Arabidopsis thaliana: one gene and its partners. The protein of the gene in region 2 interacts with the protein of the main gene of each other region in a biochemical or structural test. Each region holds a gene or a part of one and is shown on either strand. Other genes may lie near its edges.

Evidence for each region.
Region 1: the proteins of PEX19-1 (region 2) and ABCD1 form a complex in vitro, tested with the Arabidopsis thaliana proteins (one study listed by BioGRID).
Region 3: the proteins of PEX19-1 (region 2) and PEX10 form a complex in vitro, tested with the Arabidopsis thaliana proteins (one study listed by BioGRID).

What each region holds. Positions count from the first base shown.
Region 1 is NC_003075.7:18,483,533-18,493,645, forward strand, and holds the start of ABCD1 (peroxisomal ABC transporter 1), read left to right. Parts: upstream 1-4,901; 5' UTR 4,902-5,237; exon of another isoform or gene 5,238-5,604; 5' UTR 5,605-5,687; coding exon 5,688-5,749; intron 5,750-5,842; coding exon 5,843-6,128; intron 6,129-6,429; coding exon 6,430-6,654; intron 6,655-6,789; coding exon 6,790-6,987; intron 6,988-7,123; coding exon 7,124-7,578; intron 7,579-7,670; coding exon 7,671-7,806; intron 7,807-7,881; coding exon 7,882-7,960; intron 7,961-8,445; coding exon 8,446-8,684; intron 8,685-8,774; coding exon 8,775-9,079; intron 9,080-9,160; coding exon 9,161-9,272; intron 9,273-9,349; coding exon 9,350-9,505; intron 9,506-9,784; coding exon 9,785-9,884; intron 9,885-9,963; coding exon 9,964-10,072; intron 10,073-10,113. Other genes in the region: AT4G39840 (cell wall integrity/stress response component-like protein), read left to right, coding at 1,736-3,091. UniProt on the Arabidopsis thaliana protein: Contributes to the transport of fatty acids and their derivatives (acyl CoAs) across the peroxisomal membrane. Provides acetate to the glyoxylate cycle in developing seedlings.
Region 2 is NC_003074.8:829,616-838,979, forward strand, and holds PEX19-1 (peroxin 19-1), read right to left. Parts: upstream 2,383-9,364; 5' UTR 2,145-2,382; coding exon 2,102-2,144; intron 1,944-2,101; coding exon 1,901-1,943; intron 1,768-1,900; coding exon 1,470-1,767; intron 1,150-1,469; coding exon 833-1,149; intron 733-832; coding exon 687-732; 3' UTR 501-686; downstream 1-500. Other genes in the region: CHAT (acetyl CoA:(Z)-3-hexen-1-ol acetyltransferase), read right to left, coding at 1-248; AT3G03500 (TatD related DNase), read left to right, coding at 3,314-3,436, 3,530-3,603, 3,705-3,786, 3,977-4,128, 4,196-4,349, 4,428-4,541, 4,616-4,735; AT3G03510 (Phototropic-responsive NPH3 family protein), read left to right, coding at 6,725-8,092; NPC3 (non-specific phospholipase C3), read right to left, coding at 8,357-8,703, 8,779-8,949, 9,063-9,364.
Region 3 is NC_003071.7:11,216,939-11,227,410, forward strand, and holds PEX10 (peroxin 10), read right to left. Parts: upstream 3,570-10,472; 5' UTR 3,478-3,569; coding exon 3,297-3,477; intron 3,199-3,296; coding exon 3,167-3,198; exon of another isoform or gene 3,092-3,166; coding exon 3,002-3,091; intron 2,920-3,001; coding exon 2,825-2,919; intron 2,746-2,824; coding exon 2,556-2,745; intron 2,462-2,555; coding exon 2,392-2,461; intron 2,322-2,391; coding exon 2,243-2,321; intron 2,154-2,242; coding exon 2,020-2,153; intron 1,769-2,019; coding exon 1,674-1,768; coding exon of another isoform or gene 1,659-1,673; exon of another isoform or gene 1,593-1,658; coding exon of another isoform or gene 1,581-1,592; exon of another isoform or gene 1,255-1,580; coding exon 1,178-1,254; intron 932-1,177; coding exon 829-931; 3' UTR 501-828; downstream 1-500. Other genes in the region: AT2G26340 (uncharacterized protein), read left to right, coding at 8-53; AT2G26360 (Mitochondrial substrate carrier family protein), read right to left, coding at 4,665-4,988, 5,063-5,296, 5,383-5,461, 5,543-5,661, 5,745-5,850, 5,921-6,222; AT2G26370 (MD-2-related lipid recognition domain-containing protein), read left to right, coding at 7,698-7,797, 8,466-8,585, 8,672-8,847, 8,989-9,114; AT2G26380 (Leucine-rich repeat (LRR) family protein), read right to left, coding at 9,677-10,472. UniProt on the Arabidopsis thaliana protein: E3 ubiquitin-protein ligase component of a retrotranslocation channel required for peroxisome organization by mediating export of the PEX5 receptor from peroxisomes to the cytosol, thereby promoting PEX5 recycling.

The DNA of each region.
Region 1 (10,113 bases), on a different chromosome or scaffold from region 2:
GCTACTTTACCAATCGATTAATTACATTTCTTTCATAGTTATACTATGATCATTGTATTATATGAAATGTCTATCTACAAATGTCCTAATTATTTGTCAGTTTATATCGCACTATTAACTTGACATGACTTTCACTTTTTTACTAAACCCATTAGTCAAAAAGTGGTGGAGTCAAAAGTCGTTGATCGTTGACTTGGGATACATGGGGGAGAAAGTGTTAAGTGCCCAAACAAAAAGACAGCGACTCATTAGAGAATTACGTGTTATAAATTAAACTTTTTTGGTATTACAATTCTTAAGTCTTGCAGTATTTGATAATTTGGGTAATTAATCGAGTCTCCAAGCAAAATACATATATAACCATAAACTTGAATATACTTGCAGCACTACATATGAGTGGGATACAAGCAATATATTTTTTCATTATTCAACACATTCGTCAAAGTCGAGTTAATACGGGCCATGTGAGTATCTCCACAATACTCAAGTTACTGTTAAGTGCATAATCATCACTAAGTATAGTTTACAAACATACAATTAACACATTGAAGTAATCTGTATATATATATATATATAGTGTTTACAAACATACAATTAGTCATATTATTAACGAACTTGCAACTAGTCAGTTATTAATAAACGTATAATTATTAAATTACGCGAGGATACAAATAGATTTATTCGTATTTACTAAGCACATGAGCAAAAACAATGAAAGCGCGTTGAGAAAGAACAGAAAAGAAAGCAAAAAAAAAGTGTCGTTTTTGGTCCTCCATGTGAGTGATCTGTGATCTCAACTTTCTCACTTTTGCATTAAATTCTTATCCTTTTTCTTTATTTCCTTTTTCATGTTTGTATTTATTTAATTTACGAGTAGTTTGCATTATCATACATTCATACTATAGATTCGCTAAACACGTAAAAATAGAGACAAATTATTAGTATTAAACAGAAGTGACAAATACCATTTTAGATGATTAGATCATTCGATTGAATAGACTCCCATTTTAACGAGGTCGTTATCGGATCAATGTACTTATTCAATATGGTAGCTGCACATACAAAACTAGATACAATATTAATCTAGAAATCAAACTAAATATATAGTTGTAATATTTTAAGTGGAAAGATAGCCTTTTGTCTCTCGACAATGGGATCACCATTAAACCAAATCAGATAGAAGTTGTGGGAGTAGTTATGCTTAAATTCCTTTTGTTTTTTCACATAATAATAGCGTATGAAAATTTAGTTACACATACACAAAAATGTCTCTTCTATATTTATTTATAAGAAAACGACTTTTCTAATTTTAGATCTCGCAAATGATTGCTATTGTTTTTTTACTACTACTCACGTACAATGAAACTTTCCAACAATTCATTTTTTTTTTACTTATCACCTACCAAATACAAACAATCACATAAATACAAAAAAATGCAGAATCATATAAAAAATTAGACAAGTAGCAGAGAATCTGCAACATGACGGTGCGGTTAAACAGTAGTAAGTACATTGATATTATCAAAGGGACTGAATTAGTAAATTCTCTGGTCTCCATCTTCTCTCTTATCGTTCACACACACACAAACACTCATATATAAACACATATGCACACTGTCACTAATGCTTCTCTCTCTCTCTCTTTCTCTTTTCCTATATATTGACAAGCTTGCGATCTCTGTTCGCTAGATCTGTCTGAAACAGTGAGGGGATTCCTAGGTTTCAGAGCAAAGTAATGTCTCCACTCAAGTACTTGTGTTTTAGAAAGGTACTCTTGTTGTTGCTCTATTCCAGTCTCTTCCTATTCTCTTCTTCTTCTTTCTTTGCCTCATCAGTTGATGATCATGAGCTACAACGAATAGATCCTCATTTCCGAGTGAGAAGATTGTTGGTGAAAGATCTGGATTCAACTGGTGATGATGATGAAACCAATCTTCCTCCTCCTCCTAAGAAGAAGAAGCTTCTTACTGATTCTGTTTCATCATCATCATCATCATCTGGTACTAAGAAGAATCAAACCAAGCTCCTTAAACCCATCTCTTCTTCTTCTTCCACCAAGAACCAAACTAAACTCGCCAAGACCACCACCATGGGTACGTCTCACAAACTTAACTCCACAAAATCTTCTTCTAACACAACCAAGACCAGCTCTGAGCTCAAGAAGCTCAATTCCGGAACAAAATCCACAAATTCTACTTCTTCGATCAAGAAATCAGCAGATCTGTCCAAATCAAGCTCATCCAAAAACAAAACCACCATAAAACCCCCAAGTTCCAAACTTTCTTCACCTCCATCAGAGAAGAAATCACAACCCTCCTCAAAACCAGTGACCAAATCGAAACAATCCGAGAAAGAAATCAAACCATTCTGGCTAGACGACGAAGAAGACGAAGATTTCGTAAGCGAATTCAGAGATCTACCAACAAGATTCCAAAGATCCCTAATCCCAGACCTAGAGCGAATCTCAACAACATCCAAAAACTACATCAACAAAGCCAACAAACAGATCACCAAAAACTTCAAACCCTATTTCGGCAACAAATACGCACCAACCATAGCTTCCGTAGTCTCTTTCGTCTTCATCCTCGTCCCTCTACTCTTAGTCTCACTCATTTTCAACAGATTCAAAGCTTATTTCTCACTCCAGAAGATCCTAATCTTCATCCAAATCTACCTCTCGATCTACTTCTCAATCCTATGCCTCTCATCGCTCGTCACCGGAATCGAACCACTCAAGTTTCTCTACGCAACATCGAGCTCAACATACGTTTGCTTGCAGATCCTGCAAACCCTAGGCTACGTCTTCTACCTCTTGCTTCTTCTCATGTACCTCGTTCTCGTCTTCTCCACGGATTGTGGTTTGGGCCTTAAGGTATTGGGCTTGGCGCAGACCTTTGTGGGCTTTGCTGTAGGTCTGCATTATTACGTGGCGGTGTTTCATAGGGTGGTGCTTCGTCAGCCTCCGAAGACGAACTGGAAGATACACGGTGTGTATGCCACGTGTTTCCTTTTGATTTGTCTGTTATCTAATGCTGAGAGGAGGAAGAAAGAGTACTTGGAAGAAGGCGGTGACGAAGGGAAGAAAAATTGAAATTTTCTTTATTTTATTCTTCTCTATCTTTGTATTTTTATATTTTAAATTTTGAAAAATTCGGCAAAATTTTAGCTGAGAAATGCAATAGAAAGAACAATTACTGGTGGATGGTTGGAAACTTTTTTTAAAAACTTCAATTGTATTTATAATAAATCGATAAATGTGGAATAAAATTTCATAATCTCATTATAATTGTCTCTTTTTTTTCTTTGTAAAAATTACAAATATGTTGTGAAATGTGGACGGCGAGAAGAATGAATTAATTAAATGTTTTTCTTGATAACCGCGAAAATTAAATGTTTCTGTTTGAAATAAAAAAAATATGAGAAGTCAAAAATTAAATAAGGTGGGGTCTACGGAATCGTAGAGTCGACGACTTTCGTGAGGATGGGGCATTTCGGTCATTGAAGGAGTTACCGACGGAACTGGGTGCTGTAGTGTTTTATTGACTTGTGTCGGTGGATTGGCGATTGAGTGTGGGGCGTATGGTGAGAAAAATGGGGCTTTTGTGTCCTAACGTGTTGTTGTATGGGCCACTCATTTCTCAAGGCCCATCACCTCACCTCATATTGTGCCGGAATGTTGTTTTAACTTTATGACGTGACGTGTGTATTATGAAACTGAAAATAGAGTTCCTCCAACTTTGAATCTATTTTACAATTTTATTATTATTTTTTTTTTTTGTCAAATCATAGAAATTACATGCACAACTATCACGACGATAGAAATTTATAAGCACAATTAGCCAAATAAAAAAATCGAGGAAAAAGTTTCTAAATGTAGGCAATGCCCAAATGTCATAAATAGCCTACTTATTTTGTCAATCTTGTCACTTAGAAACTCGGCACTTGTATAAAAACGTTTCATTCAACTTTTGGTATCACATGTACATTATTCAATTGTGAATTCCTAAATTTATTGTGTGCTGTGATAATTCACCAGATCAACCAGTTTAAAGACCCGTGAACAAAAATGCCCATAACATTTTTTTGTATTGGGTTTCAATCAAGTTAAGGCCCATTTTGGTTTAGTATACGGATTGTGTTGGGCGAAAGGAGTGATGTAATATGTACTTATCAGAAACAAAGTAGGAAGACATCACAGTATCACAACATTGATTTGTGTGCTTCAATCATGCGGTGTACAATTTGCACTTTTCCCACTTCACAAAATTCACACCTTAAATATCAATTTGTGAAAAGTATTGACTTTTAACTTTACCAAATTAAACTCTTTTAGTGAACAATCTTTAACAACCATTTTATTTCACATATCTGATGACTCAATAATTCGTGCAAATTTCAAATGTCCTTGTATATTATCGTGTTTGAATTTCAACTTTTTTTCCAAACATGAAATAACAATCCATGATTTTATTGCTAATATGTCTATCATATATTTAAGTTTACAGACCAATCACAATTTCCTCAATTAGAAAAAACAAACTTACCAATGGAAGGATAGCAGTGTATGTCCATAGGACTCGACACTTCTATACATAGTACTATTTGTATTCAAATTATACATAAAGGAAATAAATCTGTCTATACATGGTTTTAGTACCAAGTTTTTTAATAAGAAAAAAGAAACAATTGATAGTTTGATACATTACCAACTAGGCTAAGATATTTTATTTATTTTTACAGTACAGCGTTAACATTTTTTTTAACGAGAATGAAACGGTGGCTAGAGTTACCTGAGTAAAAAATCTAAAAAATAAGGTAAAAATATCTGATAGCATTCGTAACGAAATCAATTAGTACTAGACAAGAAGATGGTATAAAAATAGAAGAAAAGTAAAAAATGGCACGAGTGAATATGTTCGCACGTGTAAAATAAGCGTCATCATCTTCTCCTCTTCCCAAGTTTCGGCTCTCACTTTCTCTCGTTCTCTCTCTCTCTCTCTATCTCTATCTCTCGATTTGGGGGAGTTCCGTCACGGTGGACTAGTACGTCTCGTTGCCGTTGGTGGCGTAGTCGGAATTAATTTCCTCGGCGTTGAGATTCACATGGTCTAGAATTCTAGCTAAGTGGTTGTTGTTGTTGTTACGATTTCCGATTTCTCGAGTTTTTTTTTTATATTTAGCTTCTGTTTCGTTTATCCCTCCCGGAGACACTCCTTGGTCGAATCTCTCATGCTGAGGTAATTCGTCATGGATTTGTTTAATTGCATAAGCTTTTTTGCAATTGTCTAAGCTTTTATCGGTTTGTTTTGTTTTTTGATTTACGAATCTAGATTTTGCGCTTTCTTATGTATGTAATCAGGATCAAATTTGCTGGGTTGTTAAACAATTTTTGTCTGTGTTAGGATTCTAATTACGCGTGTTACTATACATGAATCATTTTCATTGTTTTTCTTCTTGATCCAAAAGTGTGAGAATCTTACTTTAGGCGTAATTCACATTTTTTGCATTAATTTCAACGGTTACACGTTTTTTTTCTTTGCTTTAGATTTGTTATAATTTGGTTGTTCTAATATTCATAACCTTGGAGTTTTGGTATTACTTCAGGTGTTTTGGACACTTGTTGTCAAGAAGAAACCAGTTTTGGTTCTGATTAATCGTTGGTTGGAAAATATACTCAATTCCAGGCCATGCCTTCACTTCAACTATTGCAGTTAACTGAGCGGGGTCGGGGTCTTGTAGCGTCAAGACGGTAACCATTTCCTTGCTCTTCATTGTATTCTAGATGGAAGTTTTTTTTGTTCGTTTGGGCTCAGATTTCATCTTTCTCTGTTTCATTCTTTAGGAAATCTATACTGCTTGCGGCTGGGATTGTAGCTGCTGGTGGAACTGCTGTTTACCTGAAATCAAGGGTCGCTTCCCGGAGGCCTGATTCTTCGCGTCTTTGCAATGGTCAGAGTGATGATGATGAGACTTTGGAAAAGCTGACTGCAACTGATCAAAATGCAAAGATAACCACGAAAAAGAAGAAAGGAGGAGGATTGAAGTCTCTTCAGGTTCTGACTGCTATTCTTCTCTCTCAGATGGGAAAAATGGGTGCCAGGGATCTTTTGGCACTAGTCGCCACCGTGGTATGCATTTCCTCTTAATTAATAAGTTTTTACTTTTGTTTTATGTTTTTGCCCAAGTCAGATAGATTTTCTGTCTGGTTGTTTAAGTTTGATCTCGTGCTGTTGCAAAGTCCTGTAGATATTCATGGAAATTCACAATTGCGAACCGTTGCTTTATTGTTATGGAATACCGGGTGTCTCTCTTTTTAGCTGAAAGAAACACCAATCTAACTTTACGGCCAATAGTCGGGAAAAGTCTGGTTACTTCTCTTACTTATGCGGGACTAGTACTCTTTCCAATCTGTTATTCTATAACTTGTAGGTTTTCAGAACAGCTTTGAGCAATAGATTGGCAAAAGTGCAAGGTTTCCTTTTCCGTGCTGCTTTCTTAAGGCGTGCGCCACTGTTTCTACGGCTCATCTCCGAGAATATTATGTTGTGTTTCATGCTATCAACATTGCACTCTACTTCAAAGTACATAACTGGGGCATTGAGTTTGCGATTCAGAAAGATATTGACCAAGATTATCCATTCACACTATTTTGAGGTAGCAACTGCCATCTCTTCTGCCATTCAATTGTTTACTATTTCTTTAGATACGAGTGTTTTTGACTAGTGAGAGTATCGAGTATACTTCAGACTGCTGGATATCTCTTCACTCAGTTTTAATTGTTGTTTTCAGAATATGGTATATTACAAAATATCACACGTGGATGGTCGGATTACGCACCCTGAACAAAGAATTGCCAGCGATGTACCAAGATTCTCCTCAGAGTTGAGCGATCTTATACTGGATGATTTGACGGCGGTTACTGATGGAATTTTGTATGCATGGCGCCTGTGTTCATATGCTAGTCCAAAATACATCTTCTGGATACTGGTGATTCATGTTTAATCTTCTATACTTCAAGATTGACCTTATGTTGGGCCATTTATGCTGCTTTTCCTTGTATCCGTTCACAGTACAATTCTTTCGGTCTGGTATCTATAAACTAACCTATACAATTGTTGTGTAGGCCTATGTACTGGGGGCTGGGACGGCGATAAGAAACTTTTCTCCTTCTTTTGGGAAATTGATGTCCAAGGAACAGCAGTTAGAAGGAGAGTACCGGCAACTTCATTCACGCTTAAGGACTCATTCGGAAAGCATAGCATTCTATGGTGGGGAAACCAGGGAAGAATCTCATATACAACAAAAGTTCAAGAATCTTGTTAGCCATATGAGTCACGTGCTTCATGATCACTGGTGGTTTGGTATGATCCAAGATTTTCTGCTGAAGTATCTTGGGGCCACAGTTGCAGTTATTCTGATTATCGAACCATTCTTCTCTGGGCATCTAAGACCTGACGACTCGACCTTAGGAAGAGCTGAGATGCTTAGCAATATAAGATATCACACTAGTGTCATTATATCTCTCTTTCAGGCGTTGGGAACACTTTCTATAAGTTCCAGGCGGCTCAACCGACTCAGGTAATGCTTTATGTTGGATCTCATGTCAGACGCTTAAATGGTGAATACTGTTTAGCTGTTTCTAATTATTGGAATGTTGTTGCTTCCGGCAGTGGTTATGCTGACCGAATCCATGAGTTGATGGCTGTCTCAAGAGAACTCAGTGGTGATGATAAATCGTCTTTCCAGAGAAATAGAAGCAGAAATTATCTAAGTGAAGCTAATTATGTAGAGTTTTCCGATGTCAAGGTAGTTGGAATAGATTCATGTTACTGTAATCCTTTCCAAAATGTCGTGTTCTTAATGTTTCTTAACACACTCTAGGTTGTTACTCCAACCGGAAATGTTTTGGTGGAGGATCTCACCCTTCGAGTTGAGCAAGGGTCTAATCTTCTGATTACAGGTGAACGCTTTATATCTAGAACATAATATGACTATCAATTTCCCTTTTCATTGCTTTTTTTTTTTGCACAGTAAAGCGTATACCACTACTGTTTAGTTCTATGGTCCTTGAGATGAGTAGCAAAGATGAAAATCTCAGTACCCCTTGTTGTCCTTATGAAGTGCAAAAAAATGGGAATGTGAATTTGAAATACTATTCTGAAAGAATTAATTCTTCTTGTATTCTGGAAGGGATAGCACTATAAACTTGTCAAAATTAGATTTGGTATGCCTAGTTATTGACGAACCATTCATATCCAGCTCAACGACTAGGGTGTTAGTGGAATGCTGGCAACACATCATCTTCTGGGGTTGATTTACTGGACTATTTTTGGCTTTCTGGGTTTTCATTTTATGTTATATTGATTAAGCAATAACATCTAGATTCGAAATTTTGATTTCTGCTTACCTGATATATCATTATTTGCTCAACAATATGTATCGTAGGTCCTAATGGAAGTGGCAAGAGTTCCCTTTTCCGAGTATTAGGAGGTCTATGGCCCCTGGTGTCTGGACATATTGTGAAGCCAGGAGTTGGTTCTGATCTTAACAAGGAGATCTTCTATGTGCCGCAACGGCCTTATATGGCAGTAGGAACACTTCGTGACCAGTTAATATATCCTCTTACTTCTGGCCAAGAGAGTGAACTGCTCACTGAGATTGGAATGGTGGAGCTATTGAAAAATGTCAGTATCCTTGTTTCTCTATTCTATACTAGGATGGTTTAAGTTAGTGTTTTGTATGTTACGCTTATTTTTGTGGACTTTTGCTTGTAGGTTGATCTAGAATATTTATTGGATCGCTACCAACCTGAAAAAGAGGTTAATTGGGGTGATGAATTATCTCTTGGAGAGCAACAGAGATTGGGTATGGCCAGACTATTCTACCACAAACCCAAATTTGCAATTCTAGATGAATGCACAAGTGCTGTCACAACTGATATGGAAGAACGCTTTGCCGCTAAGGTTCGAGCTATGGGAACTTCTTGCATAACAATCTCCCATCGTCCAGCGCTTGTTGCATTCCATGATGTTGTTCTGTCATTAGACGGTGAAGGAGGATGGAGTGTTCATTACAAGAGGTTGGGATTGTTTCTTAGCCATGTTTGTGAGAATTATTAAAGTTTATTTTTATTTACTTATTAAAATGACTAAACCTTCAGGGATGACTCTGCCCTTCTGACGGATGCTGAAATTGATTCAGTGAAAAGTTCAGATACAGATCGGCAAAATGATGCGATGGTTGTTCAACGAGCGTTTGCTGCAGCTAGAAAGGTCTCAGCCGAAGTTTTATTTGTTTATTATAATTTTCGTTGACGATGGTTCTAACCTGGTTACTCGGTGCTTTGTAGGAATCTGCTACTAATTCAAAGGCTCAGTCGTACCAGACACAGTTAATTGCAAGATCACCTGTTGTAGATAAAAGTGTAGTGTTGCCTCGTTTTCCTCAACCTCAAACATCCCAAAGGGCTTTACCATCAAGAGTAGCTGCAATGTTAAACGTGTTGGTGAGCTTGAGTTACTAGTGTGAATTTTATTGTAGATAGCTGTACCAATCATTCTTAACTTAGATATCAATACACATGCTTTTTGCAGCTGCATTCATATATCCACCTTTTTCTCTTCCATTCTCCTCAGCTTGGCATTTCAGTGCATTTCTTTAGCTTCCTTGGAAACCCCACCTTTTGTTTTGCATTTCCACTTGGCTAACTTATTCGTCCTGCGCTGATGCTAATATTGATATTATACTTCTCAAAATAACTGACCACTTCATTGTTACATTTCAGATACCCACTATATTTGACAAGCAAGGAGCTCAACTGCTTGCTGTTGCTTGCCTTGTCGTCTCAAGAACGCTGATCTCTGACCGAATAGCCTCTTTGAATGGTAAACATACTCCATATTGTTACTTGATCAGTTTTATTGATAGGGTTCCTTTTCTAACAAGCAACCATGATTTTTGCAGGGACCACTGTGAAGTATGTCTTGGAGCAAGATAAGGCAGCCTTTGTTCGTTTGATTGGTTTGAGTGTTCTCCAAAGTGGTGCATCTTCTATAATTGCTCCTTCACTAAGGTAATCTTTCCTTTTTATGCATTTTTAGTGTTTCGAAGTCC
Region 2 (9,364 bases):
TAAACCAGCGCATCGGCGAGGGCTTTCTTTATCACCTGGACCGGATCAAGATCACTTGAAAGGTTAGGTCTATAGAAAAAAATAACTGGAATTTGAAATCTTAGTCCTTGTTGGTCGTCTATGTCGGAGAGAGGCTTGAGCTCTCGTGGCGTTGGTTTAGCCGGAGTGACTAGCTCCCGCTGCTGGCGATGCACCTTGAAAGAAAGACCAGTGGTGGTAGATTGTGGCAGAGACACTTGATGGTCCATACTTTGATACTTTGAAGATAGAATCACACGTACGAGATACTGTCTTCACCACACATACATATATATACGTAGTTATATAGTATTGCACATTTTACGTGTGTTAGTTTGGTATTATACTATTATGAGATTTCTTTTGTCTCGACTCTAGAATGTATTAACCTTAAACAATAGATATAGGTAAACACATCAATACTCCATGTAGACACGATTTTTTTTTTTTCCACTAATCAAAATAAAAGGTGCAAAGGAACGCTTTGGCTTAACTTATTTTTAAAGATGTGTATTCAGTTGGGAAGAATGATATTGTGTGATTGGCTATTATCATCGTAAGGCTTTTTGTGTGTGTGAAATTCCAATCATAATTGAAACAGAGCTTTTGAGTTTTATAACACAAGAGAAAAACAAACGACATATAATTCTTGAAGCTGTTTGGCCCCATCACATGATACAGCAATTTGGCGAGGACTCCAGCATCTCTGGGGATCTGTAGATAAAATAAACATGAAACATTGGTTCATTTTCAGGTAAGGGAGATCCAAACCCAATTGAGAAAATGAGATACAGAGGAGGAAAGAGGAACTCACATTTGGCCAAGACTTGCGAAATCAAACCCGGGATCAATCTCTTTAACTATATCACTCGGGGGTTGTCCACATTCCTGCATCTTTTGCATGATCTCCATTATCTTAGATGAATTGTTAGGTTCATTCTCGTACACTGCATTGAGTTCTTCTATTAGTTTGTACTGTTGTGAATATCGTTTGTAGTCTTCTTTGCTTAGACTGGCTTCATTCTCTTTTAGCCATTTCGGATATCTTGCGCCAAGCTCCTTCATTGGTTCGTGGAGAATATCCTTCGACAATAGCTGTTGCATCATCGTCTCGACTATTGATTCCAAGTCCTAGTATGCAAAAACAAGATGAGAGTCAACAGAGCGACAAATACCAAGTAGATAATGAGCTCTATATAACCTTAACATAGCATAAAGAACAAATTCTAATCAATCAGCGACCAGTTCTATGAACTCATAACCTTGAAGATACAATAGAAGAACTCACAGATCGGTTCCGCAATGAAACATCATCCAGCAGAATGTTCTACTAAAATCTACTTGTAGTACAGTAAAAGACAGCATAATATTTTCAACTGATGATCGAAAGACTAAACTTTCGAGTTTCAATTCAATTAAGTAGAGACAGATTCAGTTTCACGGTATATTACCTTAGATCCAGCAAGATCCTCGAATTGTTTGAGAAAATCCTCAACCATTCCATCATCATCAGAAGCAGGCAGCTGCTTAGAAGAAATGGATTCCAATCCTTTGACAGTTTCCCTAGTTTGTTCCCTAAGCTTATCAAGAGCTTCAGCAACATGATCCTCTTTGGAAACCTTTTGTTTTCCTCTCTTCTTGCTTCTCATATCTGGTAATCCCATTCCAAGACCTTGAACTCCACTCGGTAATAAAACCGTCTCTTCTTTCCTCTTCTTTTCCTCCTCCTCTTGAGCTTCCCTTTGATTTCTACAACAACACATCCCAAAAACGATTCAGAGCTAAAACACAGAAATCTCTAACTTGGGAATTGAAAGTCTCTAAACTCAAATCCAAAAAAGTTTGAGACTATGGAGGTAAACACATAGGAAAAAGGAGTAACCTTTGATGAGAAAGATTGAGATCTTTGAAATCATCCAATGCACCTGAGACAGACAAAACCACAGAAGATAAACCCCAAAATTCTCAGAGAATCAATAAAAACCCTAAAAGACAAAACCTTTAAACAAACATGATAAATGGGCAGGAACACAATTTAGATAGAATTCGAGAAAACGCCGATCAAATTGTAGAGAAGACTTACTATCGAGAAGCTCGTCCAAGTCATCGGTGTGACTGTTCGCCATTTTCCTTAGGCGGTTCTCTTCCTCTCTATATCTCTGTGTAAACAATTCGCAGATGGGACGACGAAGAATATCAGAGAGAGAGAGGAGAGAAAGATTTGACAGAAGAAGAAACCTCTTTTGGGTTTGCCTTGTTTCGACACAGACGGTGCGATTGATTTATATGATGACGCTTCTTTTAGTTGCGGTGAAGCCAAAGTACACGATCCAACGGCTGAGATCACTTTATTTTTAGCCAAAGTACTCGACCCAACGGCTGAGATCACTTTGTTTTTATTTTATTTATTTTTCCAAAAGGAAAAAAAAAGATTTTTCAAAAAAAATTGATCAAATTTTGCAACAGAAACAGAAGAGAAGAACAAGCTAACCAAACTATAAATCAGAATTCTGATGCAGCATTAAGGTGGTATCAGCGGCGTTCAAGGGGAAATCATCAGTGAACAGTCGAAGGATGATGTATAAAGAAGCCATATGGGAGGAGCTTCAGAATGTGGTTCATGCCCTTGCTCAGATGAAAACAGAACAAAGCTTACACAAGTGTGACTAAAGCGATTCGAATCTTTATTTGGTCGAAACTTCAATGCCAACAATGTGTTACTTCAATCTTGCTTCCAATTATTCTGGAGTAACTGAAGAAAATGTCAGCTAAGAAGATGTTTCTGCCTTCATTGACTCTGTCTTCAGACAGGTAACACTTCTATTATCTTGTACACATTTCATCTATTTTTGGTCTTCAGGTGGTCTAGAAACCAAGACATGCCTGCCTTTGTATGTGCGTTTGACAAAACATATGACTTGTACTCTTTGTTCTTAATAATATCACAGATAGAGATAACTCTTATTTTTATTCCTTACTCTAATCTGACACAAGTTAGGTTAATACGAAAAGTATTTGTTTACTGTAGATAATCTATTAAACACAAAGGTTAGTCATTTTACTCTTCAAGTTCAAGTAAATCCAGATCAGAGTTTTGTAGCGTCTCTTAAACCTCAAACTATCTCAAAAGTCAACTCTTTGTGTTGATCATATGATCAAACCATATCTTTAGGGTTAAGCTATAAACACAGGTACATAACCTATCTATATATATATATCTCCATATACTTTAAGAACCTCAAAGAGAAGAAAGAAGTCACAGGGATCTGTTAGAACCAAGAACCTCACGGTGAAAATGAAGTTGTTTGATGCTCATTGTCACCTCCAAGACAAGAGGGTCATCGACAAAGCCTCGCAGCTCATATCTGCTGCTTTAGCTGTCGGTGTTACCAATTTCGCAGTCAATGGAACCTCCGAGGTTTGTTCCCAAATTTTCATGATCGCTTGGTCACTGTCATCTATATTACACAAACGTATACATATTTTTAAGAGGTTTTGTTAATGGAGCCAGAAAGATTGGAACTTGGTGAAAGAGATGGGAGAGACGTATCCTTCTGTTGTTCCTTGCTTTGGACTCCATCCTTGGTATATATGGGTTTTATGTACAGACGATCCTTTTTGCAATTGATGCACAAAAGTTTCAGATCAAAGTTTCTTCTTTTTCTTTTCTCTGTTTTGGTTTGCAGGTTTATTGCTGATAGAAGCCCTCATTGGTTTAAAACATTGAAGAAGTTCTTTGAGACCACTCCTACTGCTGCTGTTGGAGAAGTTTGTGTCTTTATCACTTATTCATCTAAACTAAAATCTTTGTCTTCAATTTCTTTTTGAATTCTGAAATGTTTGCTTTGTTGGTTCAAGATTTAGTGTAAACTGCAAAATGATATGTTGTAATGAAACCCCTTTTGGCTGAGATCTCATTAGATTAACATCTTCATAAAATTTAATGTGTGTTTTGCAGATTGGTTTAGACAAAGGTCCCTTAGCAGGAGGAATTGATTACTCAGACCAGCTAGTCGTGTTTCGCCCACAGCTTGAACTTGCAAAAGAACTGAACAAACCAGTAGCAGTTCATTGCATCGATGCATTTGATGATCTCCTAGAGATAATGAGGTATGTATATCTACATGTTGCATTTACAAAGATATAGCACTAAGTTTCTCAAAATAAATACACGCAGATCCATAGGGCCTTTTCCTGCTGGGGTGATTCTTCATTCATTCAATGGTTCAGCTGAAGTTGTTCCTAAACTCGCTGAGCTTGGTGCATACTTCTCTTTTTCTGGCTGGTTCACTTACATTGATGAGAAAATTGCCAAGAAGACTTTGAAATCGGTTTGCTTTTTTCCTCTGTAATTATACAAACTTCTGGAAAACGAATGTATTGAATTCTTTTTACCTGGTCTGGTAAAGATTCCTTCCGATAGGCTCTTATTGGAGACGGATTCACCTGACGGGTTACCAAAATCAGATGAGAGTTCTTCGGATCCAAAACCAACTCTCAATGAGCCTGCAAACATTCTTGCTGTATGTTCTTATCATCATCTGACTTTTTGCTTATTTCAGCTCATTACTTGTCTAATCTTTTCCGTGATGAATAGGTACTAGATTATGTTGCGAACCTGTCAAACATGAAGAAGGAAGAGCTTGCGGAGTTAAGTTATGTGAATTCTGTGAGGTTGTTTTCTTATCCAGGTTCCAAATTGCTTACAGACCAGTAAAAATGGTGTCTCTCAACAGAATTGTACCATCATCTCTGATCAAAGAGACAAAAGAACAATCATCTTCTGTTTCTGCTGTTGTGTGTTAATACTTGCAAAAGAAAAACTCATTCAATACCAAAATTATGTTGTTTCTGTTGCTTACTTGGTAGAAGTTGTAACTATGTATCAGATACATTGTATCTTCTTCTTATTGTCTTGTGTAAACCCAGTTATGATGTTTGATTTTTACATTTTTTCTTATAAATCCCATTACATCATATAACAGTAGCCCCTTACAAAAGTTTTGCATACTTGTGTAATTTACATTAAAAAAAACACAGATTACCAGAAGAACAGAACTAAACACTAACACTCTACAATCTTCTTCTTCATTCTTGAGAAATCATAAGTCTCTATTCACCTTCTTCTTCTTTCTTCTTCGAGAGAGAAACGAAGACCAACAGAAAGCAAAGTCAACAATCTTTCTCATCTATTTCTCTTTGGGAGAAGAGAAGCAAAGATTAGAAATCTCCATCGCATTATATATATTATTTGTTGTATTCTCCATTCATAGGCAAAGAGAGAGATGTCTTCATCATAGCTAAGCTTTTGGTTGCCTTAGAGATAGACTCGAGACCTTTCTCTCGTTCCAAGCCAGCAATGATGCTCTCTGTTGCTCTCTGCGGAAGATACAGCCAGTCCTCTCAATAGATTACACAATGACCGGTGGATCGATTGATGTAAGTAAAAAAAAAACCTTTGAAGTTTTCTGGTAATGTTTCGAATTCTTGATTTCTTTTGCTTTCTGTAGGCAAAGCCAAATCATGATTCTATCGCGTTGCTCCTTGTCAGTACTCAACGAGAATTGAGTGAGATGTTGTAAGTATTAAAAACAACTTTGATAGAAAAATTGATTTGATTAATGTGTTAAATGAAATTCAAATTAGTAATAAAATTTTCACATTGGTAAAATTTTGATTTAGATAGCTTCATAAAATTTAAAATTTGGCCTTAATTATCTAGTGGTGCAAAAGTTAGCCACTTCAAAATTTGGCCTTACTGATGTTAGAATTCTTCAAGTTGCTAGCATAGTGGCATCTGCTATCAACTAAACCGGAGGTTGTTTGGTTTATGTTGTTGTGGCCGAACATTGAATTTGTCATTTCGTTATTTTATTTTTTATAATCTTTTATTTCCTTTTCGTTAATTAAAAAAATTAGTAATAGTAGAATATGATTTATTAATAATTTACCCAGTCATCTTGTATTATTCAGTCAAAAGGTTTTTAGTCCTGTATTTTTTTATAAATATATTTTATTGAATAAGATTTATTTATAATTTACCCAGTCATATCGCTAAAGGAAGCGTTTCGATATTTTACATTTTCTTTGAGAAATCCCACAATATCATAACAATAATTCCTAAATCTCAGCAAGAACCACACTCTTTCTTCTAACGTCTCTTTTTATCTCTTTTTTTTCCTTTTAACTTTTGATTTAATCTTCAGTATTGAGGAATGCTTTTTGTCTTCTTGTTCTCTGGTTGCAGAACCCCGTCAAACACAAGCTTCTGTTCCTTGGACAACAAGTTACAACCACAAACTAGTGTTCGCAAACATATACAATCTATTCATTCAGTAGAAAGGCTAGTACAAAATGTCAAATAGATATTCGAAGAACCCATCGAACCAGTAAAACTCTTAATCTCTTCCATTTCGTGTTAATTTTCTGTGAAATATGTATTAAACCTAATGTTAATCGTTTGTAGAAATTCAAAGTCACAAGATCTTGACCTCTATGTGAAAGGCGTTCATTTTCATCTTAACAAAGTAAGCTTTTGAATCCGATTTCGCTGAGATTTATCTCTTTTTGTGGTTTCTTCTGATTTCGAGGGTTTCGATATTTGGTGTTGGTGTTTGGTTAGGAGACTTTAGCTAAGAGATCGGCGAAAGTGACGACATTACTCGAGAGTAACAAGCTCCATGAACTGCGTTGGATCATCAGAGACATGGACATCAACCCAAGTATCTTCCACCTCGTGACTAGATTCTGTTATGGATACAAAATCGAATTATCAGCTGACAATATCGTCTCTGTGTTATGCATTGCTTATTACCTAGAGATGAGCGATGATCATAGCTCTAACAACTTGTTGAACAAGGCAGTTACGTTCTTGGAACAACGAGTTCTTATGAGCTGGAGTGAGACCGTGAAAGCTCTTTGTATCTGCAGCGATAAGATTTTGGACAAACTAGCTAATGTTGGACTCATCGAAGTTTTCTTAGATTCTCTTATCGAAAAGGCTCTCAACGATACTAGGTTGCTCCAAGATTTGATTACATTACCACTTCGGTTATATGAACCATTGATTCTAGAAGTGAGTAAGCACAATGTCTCGTTAGAAAACCTTGTGGCCTCTGTCTGCAATTACGCGAATAGATGGGTTTTCGAGAAAGATTCGGGAGACGGAAGCGTTTCAAGAAACAAGAGAGAAGGAATTGAAGCTGTTGAGAGGCTTTTGCCTCACCAAAGAGGAACAATCTCGTCTGGATTTCTGTTCAAATCGCTGAAAGAATCGATTTTTCTTGGTGCTTGCTCTGATTGCCGAAAAGGGTTTGAAGTTAGGATAAGTAACCAGCTTGACATGGCTAGAGCAAAAGATCTCCAGATTCTGTCACCAACAGAAGATGGATCTTATGACATCGAGCTCTTGAAAACCATTCTCAAGAGCTTCTATAGTAACGATAGTGTCCCGGATCTTTCGCGGTTTGTGAGTGTAGCGAGAATGTTGGAAGAGTTTCTGTTGGAGGCTGCTGCGAGTGATGCTGGTTTAAGGGTAGGAACATTCAAGGAACTAGCAGAAATTGCAGTTGCTGCGTCTTGTGATGTGCTGAGTTACTCTGATGGAATATACAGAGCGATTGATGTTTACTTGGAGAGGCATAGAGACTTGATTGAATCGGAGAAGATGGAAGCTTGTAGGTTTCTTCATTGTAAGAAACTTTCACCCGAGGCTTGTGAACATGCTTCAAAGAACGAGAAGCTTCCATTGAGGATTGTTATGCAAGTTTTGTTTGTTTCTCAGATGCAGATTCGGGATAAGGTGGCTAGAGAAATGAAAGGTGTAGTGGAGAGAACAGAAAATCAAGTAGATGAAGTGGAGAGTATGAGTAAGAAGTTGTTAAAGCTCGAGATAGAACCTGATTACATGAAGAAAAGAAAGATTGAGAATCTTGAATGTGTTGTTCATTGCGAGAAGAAGAAGACAAGTGTGTGGAGAGAAGTAAAGAGGAAGTTTGGTTGTATGACTTCTTCTACCATGGATGCTTGCAGTTGTCATATCAAGAAGAGGAAGACTTATCATAGCTACAAATAACAAAGGATCACTCTTTTGTTTTGTTAGAATTTGCTTTTTGTTCAATTTAAATTCCTCTGTTCTGTTCTGTTTTTGCTCTGTTTTGTTGAACCCTTCGTTAAAATACTCTGTTTTTCGCGGAGGTACCTCTCCTAATGAACCTCATTCGGAAATGTAAAACATAAAATTTGGAAAACAAACAAATATCAAATTTCAAACGCTCTTCACATAAAATCCGAGAAATACACCAAATCTCACAGAGATCAAATCTGTTTCAACTCAAGATCAATTATCACAAATCAAACACGAGAATAACTTCTGAACAAAAGACTTAGGAGTCGAGTGACGAGTAGATCCTTTAGAAAGATCAACGATCTCATGCTCATCACGGCCTTCTTCTTTAGCCTTCTTGGACTCACCATGGAATCTAGTGAAAGCTTCTTCTACGTACCTAGCCGCATCCAAAACCTTCATTTTATCTGCGAGCTTAAACGGGTAAATGTCTTTGATATGATCTCCTTTTAGTACAGCCGCTGCTTGAATCAGTTCGATTTGAAAATCAGTGAGATCTTCGTCTTCTTCTTGTGTTCCAATGTCTATGTCTCTTGCCCTAGGAAGTTCCGGTAATGTGACTGTGTAATAATCCAAAAACTCATTAAACATATATTGCGTTTAATATGGACTATATAACCAACTATATATTTTACCGGGGCAGTCCGTCCTTGGGCTGGTCCGGTTGATGACAGCATCGAGTGTTCCAGCCCATTCGTCACGCTTTGTAAGAAAGCTCTTGAGGTTGAATATTTTCTTCAGTGTTGCCGGAATTGATGAATGTTCGAACTGCGACGTTGGCTCTGGTCCATTTGGCTCGTGTAACACTAAAAAATAATGTCATCACCAGTAAATTATTATAACCGGTTTTGACCAACATGACAATACCACACTAAAGTCTAAACTAACACAACTCGGTTCCAATTCAAAACATACGTACCCGTTCCAGGTTCGATCCAAGGCGAGATTAGCAAAGCAGGAACCCTAACACCAAGCCGGTCAAACTTAAAGTTATAGGGCTCAGGTCCAACTAGACCATCAGGATTTGGGACACCAATGACTGGAGTAGGGACGTGGTCATAATAACCACCATGTTCATCATAAACAACAACGAAGAGAATCTCGTTCCACTGAGGACTAGCTCTTAAGGCTTCGTAGATTTCTTTGACTAGATTTTGGCCTTCAACGACGTCGTTTTTGGGATGGTCATCATTAGCTGGAGCCGACAAAATCTTGAAGTAC
Region 3 (10,472 bases), on a different chromosome or scaffold from region 2:
GATTAAGGTGTCGTTCGTTTGATCAGTTGACTGATGCATCTAGATGCAGATGATAACTGATGTTCGTTTGAACACAATATAACAGAATAGTTTGATACATCAGTTGGCTGAGTTTATAAAACTCATTCAAAAAAATTAAAATATTTAGCTGACTTTGATCGGTGCATCTAGATGCATCAGCTGCAGTCAAAAATGGTAAATCTCTAAAATACTCCTTTAAAATTTGAAGAATTACACTAAAATAAATATATGTCCTTTTTAGTCATTTGGTACATTATGCATTCAGATGCAGATGCACATTGTTAAAAAACAATTCAAACGAACACATCTGCATTCAAATGATTCATCCAGATGCACTATCAACTTCAGAAACGAACATCATCCAAATGATGCATCTGAATGGATCTTCTGGATGGATCACCCAGAGGCACTACCTAACTGATTAAACGAACAACACCTAACATTTTAAAATGGTATTGTGCCTAATATGAGATTTTCTTGTCTTGTAATAGATCTCCAATTGAGATTATTATATGTAATATAGAATGTGAAAGACCACCTAACATCTCCAACTCTTTTTAATGAAATGTAAAACAACAAACCTCTGTGGTTTCTGCACTAAATATCATAGAGAAAAAGGTAGGCATGGGATCGAGAATGATGTCAGAAATATATTTATTCTGTCTTCTCTCATAACTTGTTGATCTTACTCAAAAAGTCTGAAGCCGAAGCAGATTCCATTCCTGTAGCAGATGCACTGTCCTTAGGTGTCACTGTCTTAGCTGCTTTGCCTTTCTGCAGTGCCTGTCTTTGTTGATCCCATTGTGCCTAAAAATCAGAATGATACAAACAAACCAAACTTGAATGGGTATTGGGCGTTCGACAAAGAGGGCATTCTTGCTTCTCGTTGCACCATTCCATAATGCAGCTCCTGCACATGACAACATGACTTTCAAAATGAGCACAATGTTCCGGTGTCAACTTTTGGATCTTAGGTTTTGTAGTTCGAGTAAATGTTCGATACAAAGTTCATCTTATCAAAAGCAGTTTCAACCAATGGACATCAAGATATTGAAATTCTCTGGATTCTGAAACTTATCAAGGTTTGTAGGTGTTAACTCGTTCCAGATCAGGCCCAGGACAAAATAAGCAATTACGGTAGAGGAAGGTTTATTACCAACAAAACACATGACCACAAGGAGTGGCCGTTGGGTGCTGACGGGTGCTTAAGCAGAGAGTGCATTTCCCTACTGCCTGCAATCGAAGTACATAGCAAGGTAAACACCTAACATAACAAGTGGTAACATATTGATTTCATCAAAACGAGAGAAAAATAAACCCCTCTGGAGTTTTTTTAAATTTAGAATAGTCTCAAAATAGGATTAACATATAACCTTGTCTCGCTAGAAACTATATGTAGAGCGGGATCAGTCGAGTGGCCATCTACTCTTATCAGATACTCATACCAACAGAGTAAACTATCATTTTGGTTTTCTTAATCACACTTATACAACATAACCTTTGCGTAAGAGCATAATACATTTTGCTCAGAGTTATGTGCCTCTCTTCCAAGTATATTATTACCTATTGTCCTTTCCCAATAATGATCACTATTCAAGATATTAGCCATTACAAAGTAACAGAAGTTTCTAACTTATTTATAAATATTTTACCTCCGTTGAAGTTGAATCGGAGGTAGACCAGTTTCCCTTTTCAGCTTCCGAAGTTATCAAATTCCCCTCTTCATTTAAAACAGGTAAACCTCTCCCTGCAAGAACAATACCAAAACTATATTACTGTAATGTGAAATAGGGTGATGCATAACAAGCAGAATATTTCAGCCTATGTTATCTTCTCTCATGTATCTTTCTAACAAACTTTTACCATGATGCCAATTTAGACCATAGTTTATTGAAACTATAGTACTGACAATCTAACATATATATCCTCCACAAATATCCGTAATGTTGGGAAATTCTAGATTATTAACATTCATAATCAAGGACATGAGAGCCAGACCTCCTGAAGTTTGATAAGATCCTATAGAAGCCTGCTGAATGGAGCTAGTGATAGATGACAAATTACTCCGACGCAAGCCCTCAGCAGCAAGGATGCACAATTGGATTAGAAGGAAAACCCCAAGAATTTGGTATCTGCTCAACAAGACTTAAGGGAGTTCAGTTACTCTGTGATAGTAAAAGTCAAGAGTTGCAAGTGTAAAAGAAGACAAAAAAATCATTACCTAGGTCTCTGATTCAGTTGCTTTCCTATGAAAACATAACGAACCCCGGATGCACGTTTCGATATATGATAATAAAAACCTGAAAAGAAACAAAGGTTACTAGTTCAGAACATGCTCTACATGAGTTAAATATTTCTCACAAAATTCACCTTCAAAGTAGAAGAGCATCAGATTGGCACGCAAAACCAGTTGTAAGACTTCGCGGGCAACAGGAAGAACCTAAAAGGCACAAAACCTTGTATAAAACAACATTTGCTACGCAGAAAACAAGTGAACGAACCATGGAAAATTAAACGTGAGGGGTATACATTACCACAGGCCATCGCTGAATAGCTCGGTGCCACGATCTCATAAGTCTATCGTTTAACCTAGATACTACAGAAGTTGAAGTTTCAACTTGAGATGAAGATGGAAGATCTATCATTCTTGGTGAGTGGATATGACTATCACCAAAAAACTCATCAGACTCATCAAAGGTGACTGCTTGCGTAGCAGCTCGAGTGCTGTAGACAATTATATCAATATCAGCGGACAAGATTCAAATTTTTCTTTGTAAAACAACAATAAGAAATGCGACGAAACCTAATTCTCTCTGCGATATATGGAACTGCGGTCTGGTACAATATGAACAAAGCACGTCTAGCTGGTGTAGGAGAGAGTCCATAAGGCCCTGCAACCTATATTATATCATTCTACATCAGAAGGTAAAATGGTTTTGTAGAAGCACACTTAAGGAAGATTGTATAAAGTAACAAAAACCTGTATAATGTCACAATATTCCTCTCCTAAAGTTTGTTGCCCTGAACCTGTCGTAAGAACATAGTAAAGCATCTGTCCAAGTAGCTTCATCTATCCAAAAACAATAAAAACAAATAATCAAAAATCTCATGGAAACTCAGACAAATATAATTTAGTGTATATTACCTCCTTCTGGTAAGCAAGAGCGATTCTTGTACCTAAGAGTGATAAAAATTAGTTATTAATTGGACAATAACGATGAAGCAATTAAAGTAGACAGTTGTTGTTGTTTGGTTTGGTGTCGGAAAAATTGTACCGAAAAGGTGTCGGAAGGCATCGCGGCAAGCTTCGTGGATGAAAGAAGCGTATTGATCGTCTTTCTCAGCAGCTCTCATAATCTCCGGCTGAGCTGCTAACGGGAATCGTCTGATTCCGCCGTGAAACCCGCTCGAACCGGGTTCATCCTGACCCGGACCCGAATCCCCATTAAGCCTCATCGTTTCTTTTTTTTCGTGGATCGATGAACTTGCCGAATGATGTTTTTTATTCGGCCTTTGATATTTTTTTTTAATTCAAAGGAAAAATAAATATTTGCAAATGTATCGATGCCATTTATATATGAGATCAATAATATTTTATTAATTATAATCTTTTTAATTATTTTTATGATCAAATATTTGTCTATATTAAGCAGTATTTTGTAATAGTCAATCGATTCGGGTGAGCTGATTAGTTTTTTAGAATACATGATGTTAAGTAAATTATGTTAAAAATAAATCCGAGCAAAGTGTTTCCATAATTAAATTATTAAAGGAGATATTAACCTTGACGAAAACTTTCTCTCTTCTCTCTCAAAAACTTTTGAGAGAGAGAGTTTGTTTTTTTGGTAAAGTCCGATCGTGATCTCATATGCATGTTCTATCCTCGCCGTCCGGTTTATCCGGCTCCTGTCCAGCATCGACTAGCTTCTAAAGTAGTGTTGGCTGGCTTATGTCTGGCGATTTGCCGTCTTGTTTACGGTGTCTTCGGCCAGTTTTGGGTTTGTTAAGTTTTTTTGTTTCAATAATCTCATTAGATCTGAGTTGGTGATGATGTTTTAGGTGTTGTGTCACTTAAAGAATGGATTTCTCCGACTTGTTTCTTTTGAGCTTTTGGTTTGCAGAAATCTTTCCAGAGACATAAGGAAAGAAGAATCTTTCGAAGCATATTATGATTGCCTTAAAGCTGTTAGTTTCTTTTTGGAGTTTCGATTAGCTTAGCAACGGTGACAAACAAAGGATTCAACGACCGATTATATTTCGGCGATAATCTTCTCACCGAAATCGATGCTCAACGGCGAAGGTTGATGTCGGAAATCTTTCGATTACTCATCCAGCATGTGTCGTGGTTGTATCCAGTTGCTGACACGTGGGCTTAGGTGGAGTACAAACAAATTTTCTTATGCAGTATGCGGTTATCCGATAGGCTCTTGTTGGGCCTCAAATATTTCTGTAAACTTTTCGTGGGGCTTTTAGTGTAGCCCGTGTATGATCGGGTTACGTTTAATACAATACTACACTTGAGAAAAAAAAAAAGAAGTAAATTATGTTATTTTTGTAGAATATATTTTTTTTTCTCAAGATTTAGAATACATAAACATGAAATAAATTATTATAACACAAAATGTTGGTCTAGTTTTCCAATCTTACTCACTATGCACTGATTGATTCAGAGGTGTGATCATAGCCTTTTGAAGAAGTTCATAGCCAGCTAAGTTCAAGGCTCCGAGAGGAGCAGTCCAGAAAAACCTTGGAACAGCTCCTTTGTAGAAAGCAAGAGGACCCTCATGTGTGAGAATTGAATAAGCAGCCATCAACATCGACAATTCCACGCCTTGTGGAGCCGTCATCATTCTTGTTTTAATCACATCGAATGGCGTTGTTAAAACTGCAGTGAAACCACCGGACAAGGCTCCAACCGCGATGGCTTCCCACGGCTCCAACTCTCTTCCTAATTGTCTCTCCACCACCTGTGAAACTCAATCGCAACCACGTCTTATTAATTACACAAAGACATGTCATTGTTCTGTTCTATCATGATTACCTTCTTTGATTGGTTGTAAAGTCCCATGCCAGCAACGTAGAAGGGAACCTCACGTAGAAGGGTAACACCGGTCCCACGAAAGAGTCCTTTGAGCCCTTCTTGATGCCAAGTCGAAACTGTAGCTTCCACTATGTTATCAAACTGGTTGGCTTGTAACCGTTGTTTCAACACTTCACACGGTATTCGCAACGTTGTCCCCAATACCGTACCAATAAAAGACGCGATTGACTGAACCTAAAATAATCAAGAAGCAAAAAAATTCAAAGAACGAAACATTATGTAGCAATAAAGTTGGCAATGAGCTTTTTACAATTACTAACTTGAATATCAAGAAGAGTAGGAGCAACGAGCGGTAACGCAAGTTTACTTGCTTCATATATACTTGTTCGTAAACCATGACTGAAAAATGTTTAAACAAGAGATGAAATCATGATAATGCTTATAACCAATAACCACAAGGCAAAGCATAAGAGATGAAACCTAGCAAATTGACCAACAACAGCCGGAATCGAGCCTTTGTATAAACCTCGAGCACCAATCTCTGGAATCTTTGACAATATTTCGAGAAACGACAATGTAGTTGATGCTTGAACTTGTGTCTTAATGATCCAAGACAAATGTAAGTAATCAGAACAATCTCATAAACACAAAAGAAGAACCTGAAATGAAATTACCATTATACCTTGACAGTATCCACTGGATGCATCAAAAAAGCAGAGAAAGCACATGAGATTCCTCCAGCTAATGCAGATTTAAGAAGATGACCAACATCTAATCCAACTCTTGTCCTAACAAAACATGTAGTTTAGACACAAATGTTTTAAAGAAAAACAGTATCTACAAGGTTCTTGTCCTCACCCAGTATCAAAGTTCTTGCCTTTAGCAACAGCTTCATTGATCAATGGAGCAATTTCATTGGATCTTGAAGTAAAATTTCCAACTTTTGCAAAATTTAAGCTAACTATAAAGCTACACGCATCTGAATTCGATTTTCTACGGAAACAAGAGTCAAGCTTTTGAGAATTTAGAAACAACAAATCATTGAGAATAGAGAGAAGGAGAGATTCAGGTGATACATGTTTCCTCTTCGGAGCTTTATTCACCATTGTTGATTTCAGTGGATCTGTGGATAAACCTTGAAAACTAACTCTGTTCTTCATCCGTCATTAGAGGAAAACAGAAGAGTGATTTAAGTGAGATTAGTCAACGTTTGATCCAAATAGTGGTTTTGATTATCGAATTAAGCCATTTTTGTTAGTCTTTGTTTAAAGTATTAGTAATTTAGTATACAACAACAACGCATATGAGGTGTTCGACGAAATGACTGTGTTAAAACAAATTGAGATGTGGGACTGAAACAAAACTAGAGGTAACTATTTTAACCAAAGATGTCAAAATGAGTAACCTTACCCAAACCCACATGGATTTGAGATTTTAATAGACGAGTTTGACCCAACCCATGTATTTATATAAGTTGAATTTATATACTCAAATCCACAACCATAAAATTTATTGGTTTAATTGGTTATATTGATATCTAGATAAAAATAAAAGAAAAATTTATAAGTAATAAAAATCTAAAAAACATATTATAATAAAACCAAGAAAAAATTTCAGTAACAAATTAAAAAATATCTAGATATTAAAAAAAAAAAACATCTTAAAATCCTAAAGTCCTAAAACCACAAATCCAAAAAAACACAAAATCATATATATATATATCATAAAACATGTTATTCATGCCTACTATTTTTATAGTCTATTAGATTAAAATATTTTGCTTAATTAGTGGACCGAATCAAAGTAATATCCAGATATATTTATATGCTTCGTTAAAAGCGAGATTTTAGAATATGACTTTAGATGTCATTTGTATTTTTAACCAAAATATAAATAAAATGTCATTGGTATTGCCAACTATGACCAAATTCTTCAATTCACAGGCATGTGTGAGTTCATGTCGAAGAAATTAAAGATTCACCTATTTAACCGGTGGTGCATCTCAAAGTGGGGAAACAAAAACCTCTAATAATGAAAGTATTTGCCAGGTTGTGTTTAGCTTCGACCATGTGGTTCGGGTATGGTTTATTTTATTTTATTACTATTTCATCTTATCTCAAAAATAAGATTTGTATGCCATGTTGCGTTAACGTTGACCATTTAGTTCCCCAGTATATGGTTTAAGCGCAATGTATATCTATGCATACATTTTTGTTTTTTCGGTTTGTGATCGGTTTTAAATTTTGTATGATGCTAATAACAGTTGTGTTTTGGAAATCACGCCGAACCAACAGACATGGTCGCAGTCAAACAACTCCATCTTTGGGATTTTTTTTTATCTAAAAGAATTCACGTCCTTGTATATAAAAGGTGGTAATATTTGAAATATTGAGATTTCAGGCAACACTCATTTTTTTAAGATTCTCACGTATAAATTAGGATTATATCATATAGGAATAAGTATAACGTGGAAGATTATTATATAGGGATGAATCATCCACTAGTTAAGCAGAATATTATATTATATAGACTATATAAAATACTAGGCATGAATGAATTTAAGCATACGTATTACAGACTTGTTTGTCAAAACAAAACAGGCATTAATCTTTTTTATCTTTCGAAGATATAACCCATGGCGATATCTCACGCCCAACCTGTTCTGCTTCTCCTATCATCACTCTATTTCTTATCTGCTTTTGGCGCCGGCGCATACAATTTTGAAAACTGCAAAAGTAAGTATCGTTTTTGTTAAGTCTTATATTGTTATATAGAACATCAATTCTTGTTACTTGATAAGTCAATTCAATGAAAAGAATATGCCTGAATTTCATAGATTGTGGTTTGCTCCTATCTCTGTTTTTTGTTTTACCAAATAAATCTTGAACCGGAACTCACATTAGTCGTCAATTCCATAAAACAGAAATAGAGTATTTTGCTACTGTGAAAACGTTTATATAGAAAGAACAGATCAATGAAACTATGAAAGTACTCCCATCTATAAAATAACCCAATAATTGTGAAGTATTCACCGAAGACTTTTTTCTTTTTTTTTTCCTTCAGTGTGGTTTTCGAGAGCCGTGGTGTATAAGTCAAGAACTGAGTATTATAACTAAAATATTGCAGGTCCAGAGTTCCTCCAATATTCAAAGATAGATCAAACAATTTGAAATCTGATCGAAATTTAAAATAGATTTATCTTTTGTTAATCCTACAAATAAATAAATAAAGAAACACTTACCCCTATGACCCTATCATTTGACATACCAAATTTCCAAATAAAGAAATTTAGGATTTATTTTTGTAAGAAATTAGGATGTAGATCCAAGTTTTTTTTTTACCTGCCATGACTTACTGATAACTTCTACAATTGTTAACATGCTCTAAATCGGTGCGACTAAAGATGCACCTATTGACTACAATTACGGTATTACGAACGTCACACGTGTGGAGATCTCTCCATACCCTGTTGGGCCTTACGACGAGCCAACCATTACCATATCCGGCTTTACAAGTGATGATAGTACGTAATATTTTCTATTCTTTTAATTGTTTTCATTTATAGTTTCCAATATCTTATCTTGTAAGAAAATATATTTGTGTTTACAGGCTACATCATCTATAGAGCAACTATACATGTGTTGTATAAATATGAAAATGTGAATAGCACTATAATAAATTACGACCTCAGTGATGTGATGGGTGAGGATCCATGCTCTATTGAACCTGGCGAAAAATTTGTGTTAACTCTTTCCAAAGTTCCTGGTTTGCAGTCACTCCCTCATGTAAGTATTTTTTATTTTAATTTTTGGACAAACGGTTTCACTTTGATAAATGTATTTTAAAACCGAACAATCTAAAAACCACAATAGTATATTTACTTGGTTTGCCTGACGGTTTTTTTTTTCTTTCTTTAAACTAATTAGAAGGATAAGTCCAAGATTGTCATATCCCTTGTTGATGAATATGGTGATGACGCTGAAGTGCCACTGCTAAAAATGTGTGTTGAGTTCGATAACCCTGCTCCAACTACAACATCGGTCTCTGCTTGATTAAATCCAATTGGCTTATGGAAATATGTTTTCAATTCTTCATATGACACTCCCGTATTACTTGCATTTTTTTTTCCCTTTTCGTGTTGTTCAACAAATAAAAGAAATATTGAATTTATAGTTTTATACGACTCTCTCGTTAATTACTAGCATCCTTTTTATATTTCAGTAACTATATAGAAAAAAATTCTAACGCATTTGCTAAAAATAAGCTACAACAACAAATCTCTAGCTATGTTTTTATCGCAAATAAGCTACAACAACATAATAAGCTACATTTGCACATGAATAAACGATGCACGAATCTGTCTCACCTTGTTTTATACGTATAGAGCGCACTTGTTTTCTAGAAACTTTTCCATTATAATTGATTAGTTCAGAAAAAAATTAGAAGATTTGAAGGTGTTGTGTGGCGATATTCATATACCAAAATCAGTAACACAAAATCAGTAAATAAAGGAACTTAAAGAGAATACGAAAATTAAACAAAGACAAAAGAAGAATATGGAACTTGTGACACATGAAGTTCAAAAACAATATAACATGACGATGAATGAATCCATTAACCTTTACAATGACTTAGCGGGGAGCCGCATAGACAGTCGTTGCCGGCAAACACACTTTCTGGAAACTTTGTCACCGGAAGTTTCCCACAAAGATGGTTTTGACTCAAGTTAAGTGTCTTTAATCCGGCCACCCTCGCCGGCACTTTCCCGAACACTAAGTTCCTTGATAGATCAAGCGTCTCGAGCGTCGTCGAGAAACTTAGCTTCCTCAAATCGAATCGGAGTTTGTTCCCCGACATTCGAAACTCCCGTAGTTGCTCTGCTCCCTTCAAGAACCTCAGTGGACTCCCTGAGATCTCGTTGTCCGAAAGATCAATGGAAACGTAGAGATCAGTTTGCCTTGTTTTCCAATCGTCTAAGCTCATCTTGATTCCACATTTAGCCAACTTCAAAGAGCCGAGGATCGACGCTGAGGTCACCCATTCCGGGATTGTTTCCATGTGAAACTTGTTGTACGACAGATCTAGAGTCAAGATGTAATTCTTCACGTTCAAAACAGGGAATGGATTGGTTAGAAGATTGTGAGAGAGATTGATATTAGCAATTTTAGTCAGCTTGGCCAAACTCTTCGGCACGGCTCCAGAGAAACGGTTCTTGGAGAGATCCAGTGTGTCGAGCGCCACGAATCTTGATAAATAGCTCGGTATCGACCCCGAGAGATTGTTCTGACCTAGCTCAAGGAACGCAAGAACCGGCGCGAGCGATGCAATCGACGGAGGGAGCTTCCCGGAGAATCTGTTGCGTGAGAGAGTGAGGATTCGAAGGTTAGTCATTGATTTGAAAATATCCGGG